Linked DNA regions of Danio rerio. The protein of the gene in region 2 interacts with the protein of the main gene of each other region in a pairwise test. Links are inferred from orthologs where the notes say so. Each region holds a gene or a part of one and is shown on either strand. Other genes may lie near its edges.

Evidence for each region.
Region 1: the proteins of usp47 (region 2) and ap4m1 interact in binary tests that used the Homo sapiens proteins (3 or more experiments, as listed by UniProt). The two-hybrid records come from large-scale screens. The link is inferred for Danio rerio from reciprocal best matches to the Homo sapiens genes USP47 and AP4M1.

The regions. Positions count from the first base shown.
Region 1 is NC_133185.1:27,749,378-27,756,216, reverse strand, and holds the start of ap4m1 (AP-4 complex subunit mu-1), read right to left. Parts: upstream 4,341-6,839; 5' UTR 4,104-4,340; coding exon 4,046-4,103; intron 3,874-4,045; coding exon 3,788-3,873; intron 3,694-3,787; coding exon 3,587-3,693; intron 3,490-3,586; coding exon 3,393-3,489; intron 3,287-3,392; coding exon 3,176-3,286; intron 2,981-3,175; coding exon 2,900-2,980; intron 1,356-2,899; coding exon 1,293-1,355; intron 1,213-1,292; coding exon 1,146-1,212; intron 971-1,145; coding exon 917-970; intron 823-916; coding exon 716-822; intron 635-715; coding exon 543-634; intron 1-542. Other genes in the region: and3 (actinodin3 precursor), read left to right, coding at 4,523-4,543. UniProt on the Homo sapiens protein: Component of the adaptor protein complex 4 (AP-4). Adaptor protein complexes are vesicle coat components involved both in vesicle formation and cargo selection. They control the vesicular transport of proteins in different trafficking pathways.
Region 2 is NC_133182.1:70,815,215-70,822,051, forward strand, and holds the start of usp47 (ubiquitin carboxyl-terminal hydrolase 47), read left to right. Parts: upstream 1-2,670; 5' UTR 2,671-2,869; coding exon 2,870-2,914; intron 2,915-6,837. UniProt on the Homo sapiens protein: Ubiquitin-specific protease that specifically deubiquitinates monoubiquitinated DNA polymerase beta (POLB), stabilizing POLB thereby playing a role in base-excision repair (BER). Acts as a regulator of cell growth and genome integrity.

The DNA of each region.
Region 1 (6,839 bases), on a different chromosome or scaffold from region 2:
GATTATAATTGTCATGTTTGAATAGATTACCATAATTGAAAAAAAAAAAAAGAGGAGCAGTTTTTTTATTTTATTTATTTATTTTTGTTGTTGTTTGCTTTTAGTTTTTATTATATATATAACAGGTTATATATATTAACTGAATTTATGAACAGGTGGCTCAGTGGTTAGCACTGTCATCTCACAGCAAGAAGGTTGCTGGTTCGAGTCATGGCTGGTAAGTTGGCATTTCTGTGTAGAAGTTGCATATTCTCCCTGTGTTCGCATAGGTTACAATACTAAGATAATGTATAAATTGGTTCGTTTAATTCAAACTATATTCAGAACATGCAAACTCCACACAGAAATGCCAACTGACCCAGCCAAGGTTCTAACCAGTGACCTTCTTGCTATTGTGTTTTAACTTTGAGGCTTTAAAACATCACAACTCTTTACATGCTTTTTAAAGAAACAAGTAATTAAAACCTACCTGTATTTAAAATGAAGTTCACAAGTATGCATTAAATAAAAACGAACAACATTTCATTAATCAGTTTACCCACCTGTTCACATAATCCTTCTCTACAGAGGGGAATAACTGAAATGGTGGTGCACACGGCAGCTCATCACACAGCTGATACTGCATTATTGTTTGCTAAAGAAGAATAAAAAAAATCACAAACGGTCCATGCGGGAATTATTCTAAAGAACATTAGTCTGTGTTTCAAAAATGTACCTCTCCTTGGCTTGGACAGACTTTTAATATTCGGAAAGTATCAAATTCATCCAGTTTTACTGCCTGATGAAATCTGCACTCATCCACACGTACAGCTGAACTATAGCCTAAAGAAACAGATTTAAACAGTTGTAATTAAAGATACACAGCCTCTAGAGATGTGTATGCAAATATTATATTGACCAGTTTTGCATATTCAACCTTTCAGCTGCGACTTTCCAATATTGAGCTCTTCATTCAGTCCAATCCGCATCTCTACAAGAGTGATACACAATCATAGAAGTGAAGATCCGTTTACAATCTGCATTGGCATGGACCGCAATATGAAATCTAGACTTTACTAGAACTTCTATGTCAAGCGGCTTTAACAAAATCTACATTGTAAAATCGCTATATATATTAACTTGAATTGAATCTGTAGCAAACTCACCTGAACAGGTTGGAAGAAAGCATTTTATCCTAATCTCTCCCTGAATATCTGATTTCATTAAAACTCCCTGAAAAGAAGAAAAACGTGTGAAAAATCTAAATGATCAGTAGTTTAATGTCAAGCCATGATTCATTGAGCTTTACTTACATTGGAGCCAATAACCACAGACAGCCTCTCTATCACATCCACAAAGATCTCATTCTTTCCCCCCTGCAGCCAGAAAGACAAACGTAGGTACATTTTTATGCTATGCTAATATTGATTAGCATGTTGTTATTGTTTTAAATGGCAAAAACGTGAATTAGTATTTTGTAATACTGTGCTAACATTCATTAACATGCTAGAAAGCATGACTAGCATGTATTAGTATGGCGCTAACATGAATTAGCATGTTTACACTGTACTAGCTTTAACTGATATGTTGCTAGCAGGTTTCCAACACATGGCTAACATGTTTTAACATGGAGCTAGCATGAATTTTTTAACAAGTTTAACATGGTGATGATAGCACACATTAGTATGTTTTTACACTACATTAGTACTAATTTATGTTAATGGAATGTTTCCATCATGTTTAACACATGGCCAACATTTTAACATGGAGCTAGCATGCATTAGTATGTTTTTACACTATACCCGCATTAATTAATATGTTGTTAGAATGTTTACAACATGTATAACACATGGCTAACATGCAGCTAGCATGAATTTGTATGTTTTACACTATACCCCCATTAGTTAATATGTTGTTAGCATGTTTCCAGCATGTTTAACACATGGCTAACATGTTTTAACAAGGTGCTATTATGAATTAGTATGTTTTACACTGTGCTAGCATTGCTTAATATGTTGCTTTTGTTTCCACACTATTTAATACATGGCTAACATATTTTAACATGCTGCCCCTGCTAAAAAATCCAGCTTAAACCAGCCTAGACTGGTTGGCAGGTTTTAGCTGGTTGACCAGCCTGGTTTTAGAGGGGTTTTGGCAATTTCCAAGCTGATTTACAGCCATTTCCAGTCTGGTCTTAGTTGGTCAGGCTGGAAAATGACCAACCAATCCAGCTAAAACCAGCTTGACCAGCCTGGTTTAAGCTGGACGTAGCTGTTTTTTTCTGGACTCCCAGTTTAGATTGGCTGGTCAAGCTGGTTTTAGCTGGTCATCTCCCAGCCTGACCAGCTAAGACCAGGCTGTAAATGGATGGAAACCAGCCTGGAAGTGGCCAAAACCCCTCTATAAAACCAGGCTGGTCAGACCAGCTAAAACTAGCCAACCATTTTTCAAATCACAAAAATGTGAATTAGCATTTTGTAATACTGTGCTACCAACTTTCATTAAAATTAAAATGTTGTTAGAACGTTTACAGCATGTTTAACACATGTTTGACATGTTTTAACATGGTGCTAGCATAAATTGGTATGTTTTTACACTATACTAGCATTACTTAATAAACTAACAGAAAGTTTCCAGCATGTTTAACACATGAATTATGTGTTTAAATATGGTACTATCATGGATTAGTGTGCTGATACTACCATGTTTCCAGACTATTTATATGGCTAATGTATTTTAACATGCTGCGACTATGAATTAGTCTTATTAACACTATTTGACCTACCTATGTTTTGACACAAAATAACATCCTGCATGCATATTTATATCATATTTTAGAACAGTCGTGTTTATGATTCATAATAATATTTTATGATCATCACAGATTAGATGTAAAACTGAAGAAACTAGGAAAACTCACCTGCTCTCCTCGACTGGACATTATAGGACGACTGGCTGCAACACTTGGAGCCACTTTACTCTGCTGTGTCTCAGCCCCAAACTACAAAATAAGAAAAAAAGTTAATATTTGTACTTTTCAAGATAAAAAAAACAAACAATAGTGTTTTATGTTTTTTTTTATTAGTCAGTTCTTAAAAGCAAATTACTTTCAAGATTTACCTGAATCGCATTACACAGTTTTTTGAAATATTGAGTAAACAGACGCAAAATATTCAAAAGAAATGCAACAATTTACCAATCCAACATTACTGAGGTCAAAGAGACTGAAGGGTTTGGATGAAACAGCTTCTGTCTGGATGAAGTTTTTCAGTATGTCAGTTGAGGTTGTCTGTACGTAGCCAAAATCCTGTTGATCAGAAACACAGAGGAAATTATACATAGAATTGGGTTGCTTCTAAGTCTAATTCATTTGGTCTGAGAAAAATAAATATGCAAACAGAGAGAACATTTACCACCATCTCATCCAGCAGCTCATAAATTAGTGCGAAATTCATCCTCACTGATTTTTCTGACAAACTGCCACAGTAGTCCTTTGTAAGAGCTGCTAATCTGGGAGACACAAAACAGTCACTTATCATCATGCAATCTGCACACCTAAAGAAAATCATATTATCACATTACTGATCCAAAAATTATATTTGTTAACCTGTTAAGGAACTCAATTATGGTGAAAGGGGAAGGGTTTGTTTTGGTTGATGCCACCCAGTACAGTCCACCCTGCCTTACATGGATAAAATGAAGATCTTTGTGTGTCTACAGCAAGATAAACAGTCAGTGTTAGTTCATGTAATACACTAAACAATCACAATGTTGTTGTGTATATCAAAAAAACATAACTGTAGCCTACCATGACAACAGGAGGCTGATCTCCACTGAGAGCTGTGACCATCTCATAGAAGACATTTATTGAGTCTTTACTGGCCTCTCCTCGGACTGATATGCAGAATTAAGAAAATCATAAGCAGGAAGCATACATTTAATGTCATATGACCACTGATCTAATAGAGATAGCTCTGATTACATGAAGATCCGTGCATATAAACACAAGATTCGATATCAGACAGTTATAAACACATCACATCACACAAGCCCGTGGGAAGGATACAGTCTTTATATATGAGATGATCTCCTTTTGATGACAAGATGAAAATTTGACTGATCATTTTCTCCAGCACACGGGATTACCTTTATTAAAAGGATGTTTGTTAAAAATCACCCCGCTCTTCTTCTGCCGTCACTTACATTCAGAAATATGTCTAAACAAATGTCCTCATTCATTCATTTCTTCAACAAGTTTCCTCATTCACTGTTATTTGAATTCTTAAAGGGACAAAATAAACCCGTTTAGGTCTCAAATAGTGCAGGACTATGCCGTCATGACTGTAAACAGCCGGGTTTTTCTTCTTCGTGAGGTCATACGTGAGTTAACAGTACCGCTTACTGCCATCTATTGAGCTGGAATAAGAGCTGCTTCTTGGCATCATGAACATGAGCGAAGCAAACTTGTATCTTTATTACTCTGCATTTATGTACGTTTTTATTCAAGAGAGGAAGTAACAGGATGGCAGACGGCGCGAAATAGATGGATGAAGCCGTTTGTGAGGTAAAAACATGTCGAACACGCTGGTATCTTAAACGACTTAACGTACGAAAATAAACCACCCAAGCGAAAACGACGGTTATCGTAGTTAAACCATGTTAAACACAAGTTTTGCTGGACTAAAATACCATATTTGCAGCTGTGTTATAAATAAACAATACACCAAAACATGGTTAACTTCTACTGTAATAAAACCATGGTAATTTTTCGTATGAGACGTGTTTCTCGGTAACGTTTTTTTGTAGGAAACACACTTTAGATCTTTTTAGGGTAAGAGTTTTTTGAGTTATTGCCGATTATCACCGAATCTGTCAGGAATATCGAAAACAAAACCAACTTAACCGCGGTGTTAAATTAAACGTCTTAAAGTCGTGGCCAGTCTATTGAAATAGGTGGCTCTTTTTTTTCAAAAAAGTAGACCTTTTTGCAGTAAATCACCTAATTTTCCATTCAGTCATGGGGTATGGATGTGACATTTTCAGTATAAACATAAAACATAAATACGTAGGGAATGTCCAAGATCAATGAACATTATGCAGTTAGATCTACCTTTTACTCCTTTGATTTTCTTGCTTGATGTAAGACCCCAGGATATATACTATAAAAACCAGAGATATTTACTACATATATTTTTACCAACTGCAAGAAAGACTATGACAATAAATTGGATGAAGCCACATCCTCCAACAATAGCACAGTGGACAGAAAATCTTAAATCCATATATAGAATGGAATATATGACTGCCTAACTTAAATTGAACTAAATGTTTTAAATTGAACTAAATGTTTTAAATTGAACTAAAAGTTTTCTTCTGTAAAATGTTTTAATCTATATGAAAAAGTAAAAGTAAAAAAAAAAAAATACAGGTCCATTAGCCACTCTATTGAAAAAGGTGGTTCTTTTCTCTAAAAAAAGTGAACAATTTTGCAGTTAATCACCTCATTTTCTATTCAGTTGTAAGGTTTACATAATGTTACATTTTAGTGACAGATTAGCTTGTCAGATCCTAACCACAGTTTTTGATCTACCAAAAATAGTTCCTAAGCAATTCCAGCGTTATGTATGTGACATTATCAGTAAAAAAACATAAATACACAGATAAACTGTATGTGAACATTATATTGAAACATCTGTTTTTATTTTTCAAAGAACTAACCACAGATTTATGGGATCAGAAAAAATATCAGTCTGTAAACGTTTTTTGTATTTTAAATAGGGAAAATAAACATGCGTTATGGATGTGACCAAAAACTTTACAGAATACAACATACATTTTAGTGAACTAATAACCTACTAATTCTGTGAATTAAACTGCACAACCTAAAATAAATAAAGCTAATTAAAACCATGGGTTGGCTTGATAGAAGACAAATGATTGATTTTATTTAACTTTACATATTTTGGATTTATGAGGAATAAGCTTTTTTTTTTCTTTATGGATCCGATGCTTCTCCATTATGGATGTAACAGGTGTGATATTGCCACTTGTGTGACTTTGGCCAATTAAATATTGTTTGAAAGCATTGACAGAAACATTTTGAGTATTTTTACACTAATGTTAAATACAAGCCTACACAAAAAAAAATCTAGAAAGTGTTTCGCTATTGTGGTGAAAATGTTTTTTTTTTTCTTGACATGATTGACATTTGCATGGAATTGCTCTCCTACAATTTTATTAAAGTGCCTACCATACTATTTTACTACAAAGTATTTATTTGCAACTGTGCATTTAAACCAAGTACAGTTACAGTTTTATAAATAGTGTTATGAGATTAAAATTTTAAATGAAACATTTGATAATGAAATATGAAAAAATACTTTCTTAAAGTATAACATTATTACCATTCATTATTTAAAAATATTAGGAATCTGATAAAACTTGTTTTAAGTTAAAAAACTGTTGCCTGTAGGCAGATGACAAACTGGCCAGCTAATTCAACTTTCCTCAGTCAAAACTTGGCCATTTGAATAATTAAAAACTCTTCTTCTTCGAAGTTATTTTCACAATTTATGATGCCATAGCAGTAAAAAAAATGGGATAAATTAGCTCATATAGGGGCCAAATTCTGGACGTTGTCAGTGGGGAGTAGGTCTTTCGAACTACCCAAACCCCCCCTGACTATGGGCCTGAGAACAGTAAGACAGAACTGAATACCCCTTGGCTGCCTAGACAAATCATTTGAGCAGTTGGTCATAATTGAGTTCATATAAGTTGTGTTCACATTTCAACCTTGGTGCACACTAACAAAAGCAGATTAAGATATGGAATAATGGGGCTCTGTCTGCTGATATATGAAA
Region 2 (6,837 bases):
CTAGGACATTTTTGGATATTATGAATGAGGTTGATGATGAATAAAAAATATATGACAAAATGGGGTACTGAGTAACGTTGTATAAGTATGCATTCATCAAAAGATAAAATGTAAATAATTTTTATACTTTTAAGTGTAATGGATACCAGTTTGCAAAGTGCTGTGCTGGTAAACCTCACTCCTCTGACCACTAAAGGTGCTTTAGTGATGGACGCAAGAGGCCATGGTCTTTAGCCTCCTTAGTAGAGCAACTGATTCCCTTGCGGAAAGTCACTGGTTAAATCCCAGCTCAGAGTGGGTTGGGTGGTGTTACATTGGTGCCTTGACACGGATGGGAGTGAGGTTGAGGGGGTGAGTGTAAAGGAGGCCAGCTAGTGAAGTGCTGTGCAGGTAAACTTAATTCTCTGACCTCTTCAGGTGCTCTAGCGACAGACGCTGAGGCCATTGTCTTTAGCCTCCTTGTTAGAGCAACCGACTCCTTTGCGAAGAGTTGCCAGTTCCATCCCAACTTGGAGCGGGTTTTGATGGCGTAGGACCGGCGGTGTAACATAAGCTTCTAAATACATAAGACCTGAAGAGTCTCTAACAATAATTAAGAATAAATTACTGTGCTAATGTCTAGGGGGCACTCAAGCGTAAGTCTTTTTTGCACAATACTGTGTATATATAACCTATGACAAAGCACAAAAAATCAAATAATTAATTCAAAGCCTAATCTAAAAGTAGCTAACTGTAGTTTCACAACTATCATGCTAAGTCTCACATTACATCACAATATTATTCAGTTTGTTAACTGTAAGTTTACACTTTCAGCTGTTTTATAATGTCCACAGACAGCGAGTGTTGTCGGAAGTGACACAGATTGAAGTAAAGTCTCGCGAAAGTGCGTGGTGGCCATTTTTCCTCCATTGATTGTTTTTGCTTACAGTCCAGCAAGAAAGAAAGTAACTCAAATTAAACCTGTATATGAGCCATTTAGAAAATAAATGGTTTCTCTGCTCAATAAAAAAATATATTGAAAAAGGCTAGAGAGACTGTTGTATTTCATCTAAAAACCACCTTATGACAGTATGAAAAACAAGCAATAGTAACGTACAAAATCGAAAACAAAGAAGAATCAAAAATGTATTTATGCGACACATTTATTATGAAGAATATAAACATTAAATAGAGAAAAATAGGTGAATTAATGATTTGAATTCGACATTATAACACGAAAAAAAAGTATTTGCAATGTTTGCAATGAATTTATAACGTTTAAAAAAACATCATTTTTTGTATCAAATGTGTCCAAAAAATGTAATCACAACCTTTTAACAACGTGAAACCAACATTTTTACAACGTTTTTGTGTGATGGGATGTCGTAATATCTAAAAAACTAGCTAACTGTAGTTAGCCTACATTAAAAAGTTGTTTACGCTAATTAGTAGCTTACTTGATTTTTGGAATCTGATTAGGATGAGAATTTTTGAAAAATAGTTATATTCTTCATTTCACTTTGAGTGTTGAAAAAAGAAGTGAACACGAAAGCACGCAGCACTCACGAAGGAGGCAAAGTTCACTTATAATGAAGATTTTTTTTCGACAGGCTAAAGTGTGACCTCAGATTAAGTTTAGTGTTTCACAACTATGCTAAGTCTCGCATTACATCACATTATTATTTAGTTTGCTAACTGTTAGTTTACACTTTCAGCTGTTTTATAATGTCCACAGACAGCGAGTGTTGTCGGAAGTGACGCAGATTTATGTGAAGTCTTGCGAAAGTGCGTGGCGGCCATTTTTCCTCCATTGATTGCTGTTTTTGCTTACAGTCCAGCAAGAAAGAAAGTAACTCAAATTAAACTGGATTACGAGCCATTTAGACAATAAATGGTTTCTCTGCTCAATAAAAAAATATATTGAAAAAGGCTAGAGAGACTGCTGTATTTCATCTAAAAACCACCTTATGACAGTACGAAAAACAAGTAATAGTAACGTACAAAATCGAAAACAAAGAAGAATAAAGAATGTATTTATGCGACACATTTATTATGAAGAAAATGAACATTAAATAGAGAAAAAAATAGGTGAATTCATGATTTGAATTCGACATTATAACACAAAAAAAGTATTTGCAATGTTGTGAAGTTCGAATTTATAACGTTTAAAAAAACATAATTTGTTGTATCAAATGTGTCCAAAAAATGTTATCACAACCTTTTAACAACATGAAACCAACATTTTTACAATGTTTTTGTGTGATGGGATGTCGTAATATCTAAAAAACTAGCTAACTGTAGTTAGCCTACATTAAAAAGTTGTTTACGCTAATTAGTAGCTTACTTGATTTTTGGAATCTGATTAGGCTGAGCATTTTTGAAAAATAGTTATATTCTTCATTTCACTTTGAGTGTTGTGAAAGAAGTGAACACAATGAAAGCAAGCAGCACTCACGAAGGAGGCAAAGTTCACTTATAATGAAGACATTTATTCGACAGGCTAAAGTGTGACCTCAGATTAAGTTTAGTGTTTCACAACTATCACGCTAAGTCTCGCATTACATCACAATATTATTCAGTTTGTTAACTGTCAGTTTACACTTTCAGCTGTTTTATAACGTCCACAGACAGCGAATGTTGTCGGAAGTGACGCAGATTGAAGTGAAGTCTCGCGAAAGTGCGTGGCGGCCATTTTTCCTCCATTGATTGCTGTTTTTGCTTACAGTCCAGCAAGAAAGAAAGTAACGCAGATTAAGCTGGATTACGAGCCATTTAGCCTAAAAGTAGTCTCCCCGACATCGACTCGTTTCTCCTAACACGCTCAGAATGCTGTCCCAAAGCCAATCGCAGGGCTCCTGTTGTTGACAGCGGACCGCGGCTGGATGATCAGATGGAAATGGTGCCCAGCGAAGAAAAGCAGCTTGTGCCCAAAGAGGTAAGAGATGATCGACCTCAAATAACACACACTCAAATCACACCATCTCCCTATTAAAAAAATCGCAATGTAAGCTAGAGAATCGCGTTTAAACGCAGCGGAGGAGAGACTGAAAAGTGCGTGTCAGGATTGTGAGTTGAGCGGCTAGCAGAGTGTTAGCTGTAGCTCAGCTAACTATCAGTCAACAAGTCCTTACAACAGATTGAATACGTTCATAACCAATATATACCGGAGATTTATGGAATTAGTAGACCTAATAACATGTTGTCATGTGTGCTGTGATGCTGTTTACTCTCTCCTCAGCCCGCAAAGTGTCCTGCAGGAGTGAGTTTTGGGAGGTGCTAAAGTGTGCGCCATAGTTTATGTTAGCAGCTCAGATTAGACTGCTTGATTTAATCCACATCGCATCATTTACATCACAGACATAATTCAGATTAGACTCGTATGCTTTATTTGAGGAATGATGACCCCTGCTTTGATATTTGAATGATGTCAACATCGGCCGAATGTGTTTTTTGTTACTATTGTTATTATAAATGACCAAAACAAACAAACAAAAAATCTTGTACAGTTTCAGTTTCAATGCACATTCTTTTTTAACGCGGATGTGTTTTAGATCTGACGGGAATAGAGTTTATCTTCCTCATCAACACTTGCATAACAAAATAATATTTTTAGTGACATTTGAACTCTCAATTTTCGAGATGCGTACTCTTTTTGGTCTTTATGCTAATGGTGATTTCATTTTTGAATGCTGTAAAACATGTTATATGTGGTAAAGTGTAAATCAATAAAGCAAGATCTTTTAAAAATTCTTAATGACGGTAACATTTGTATTCATGCAAAAAACAACAACAAAACATTGTAGCAACTGGTTGTTTGATTGGCTGATTTAAAACAACAAATAGGTGTAATGTATATACACACACGCAGTCGTATAGTTGAAGTCAGACTTATTATACAGAGCTAACCCCTTTTAATTTATTTTTCTTTTTTAAACATTTTTCAAATAATGTTTAACAGAGCAAGGAAATTTTCACAGTATGTCTGATAATTTTTTTTCTTCTAGAGAAAGTTTTATTTGTTTTATTTCAGCTAGAATAAAAGCAGTTCAAAATTATTAGCCCCGTTAAGTTATATTTTCTTAATGGTCTACAGAACAAAAGATCATTATACAATAACTTGCCTAATTACCCTAACCTGCCTAGTTAACCTAATTAACTTTGTTAAACCTTTAAATGTCACTTTAAGTTGTATAGAAGTGTCTTGAAAAATATCTAGTCAATTATTATTTACTGTGTTCATGGGAAAGATAAAATAAATCAGTTATTAGAAATGAGTTATTAAACTATTATGTTTAGAAATGTGTTGAAGAAATCTCTCCGTTAAACTGAAATTGGGGGAAAATATAAACGGGGGGCTAATAATTCATTGGGGCTAATAATTCTGACTTCAACTGTATATTCATAATCAAAACAATAATAAGACCATATGTATGCAGACATACATGCTATGACATTTACACAGCTTCATACATGAAGTGCACAATACAACATTTTTAGATCTTTCTGTTGCGCATACACTACTGGTCAAAGTTTGGGGTCTTTTTCTTTCATGTTTTTTTTATGAAAATTATTTTGTTTATCAAGGTGGCATTCGTTAAATGTAAAAAGAAACTGTTAAATATTTATTTAAAAATATTTAGATGTTACTTATTGTATGTACTTTTAAATGATATTATTAGTCCTTACATTATTGTTTTTATTACTATTACCATTATTATTATTATTAATAATAATAATAATAATAATAATAATAATAATAATAATAATAATAATAATAATAATACAATATATAATAATAATAATAATAATAATAAAAATAATAATCATAAAAACAACAACAACAACAATTATTATTAGAGTGATTTCTTAAGGATCATGCGACTCTGAAGACTGGAGTAACACTGGAGTGTGTGTGTGTGTGTGTGTGTGAAATTTTGAGAACAGTTTCCATCCAAAGGTGTGAATTAGACACAAAACTGGAATATGGCAGAAAATATTTGAAAGTAAAGAACTGTTTCCATCCATGTAGGCAATGACAATAAAATTGTGTCTTCATGATAAATTTGTTGCCAAATATCAAAAATAAATATTAAAATTGGCTACAGTAGGCAGTAGGGCTGCACAATATTGGAAAAATTAGTCATGACAATTTGGCAATATTTTTTTTTTCTCTGCGATTATATATTTTGTGATACAAATACATTTTCTCAAAGTCACTACTTTAGATTGACTGGGATGATTTTGCAGGGGAGTGAAATATAAATATATTTTTATGTAATTTATTATACACATATAATAAACAATAGAGGTGTGAACCTACACTGGTCTCACGGTTCGGAGAGAATGACAAGCCAGGAGAATAAAAACAAAGGAAGTGACCATTTTTAAATAGACAGCCGAGACATTACATTGTAATAACATATACATATAATAACGAGCCATGGTCGACCAAAGCTTAAACAAACCTCGTCGTCGTCTTGATGAACATCCACAAAACCAAGAAGAACGAAACCTGCTGTGCCTTGTTGTTGTTTTACGAGGCCGACTAATAGCGCGAGTGGTTTCACTTTCTCCAGGGAGCTCAGTTGTGCGTCTATATTTGAAATAACTAACTTATTCAGCAGATGATGATAAAAACGTACGCTTGATTCTTGAAGTGCTTACCATCGGTACCCTTTTGATAGTAGAAACACATGCCTGATAAAGGTGACCCGTACCGTAACACTCAGTGGAAACGGGTCGTTAGAGTGATAGTTCATCCAAAAAATGAAAACTTGCTCACTATTTACTCACCCTCAAGTGGTTTCAAACATTCATGAGCTAATTTATTTCTTAATAAATTTGAACTACCTCTTTAAAATCAAAACTTTACATAATATTCCAAAATGTACATAAAATAGGTGGATGGAAACATAGCTACAGTGATTTAAATGCAAAACCTTTTAAAACCACAATGTAAAATCTTGTTTTTTAGTACATTGTTATAACATAAACATCCTTGTAGTATGAACTTAATTCTTTATCAGTGTTTTTTATTTTATCAAGGGCTGTTTATGTTGTCACTGTTGGTGCTGTGAGTTCACCGGTGAGCGTCAGGGGTTCAGACTAAATTTAGAATGGGATTAATCCGTTCAAATGGGCGACAATATAAAAAGTCATTTTGAATTTAGCCTGAAATAAATGATTGTTTTTGACCCCATTTGATCTTACAAGTTGTTCTGCGGGACTGCTAATGGTAACTGTCTAGTGCCAAGGTGTAAGACCTCCTTTGGTCAATCTGTCTTCTCTGTAAAGGGAGCCAAACAGTGGAATGATTTACCTTTTAGCCTAAAATCAGAAAGTAATATAAATATGTTTAGTAGTGTTCTTAAAAAGTGGTTAAAAACAAAACAGCAGTGCTTGCACAAATAGTGTAATGTTAGTTTGTTGAATCATGTTGCCTTTGCTTTTGCCTTCAGTAATTATATGTAAATATTTATAATGTTGTGTAAATGTATTTATTAGGGATGAAACATTACAGTTAGCCCACGGTTCAATATATACCTTGGTTTTTTAACATGGTGTTTGGTTCGGTTCTCATGGCTTGACACATGTTTTTTTATTTATTCTGTAGGCAATAGGAACAGTAAGAGGTTAAGGAGAGAAAAAAATAAACACGATTTATTGCAATACTTATTTTGTTTAACTTAAAAGCCAAGAAAAGTACACTAGTTCCTAGTGTATTGTATATATAAAAAAAATTAACACTGAAATCTTACTGCTGCTGGTAGCCCATGTACAAACAGGGGAACATACAAAATCCTACATTTTGAAAATAAACATACATGTGAAGTTAATAAAGATAAATTGGCCATTTCA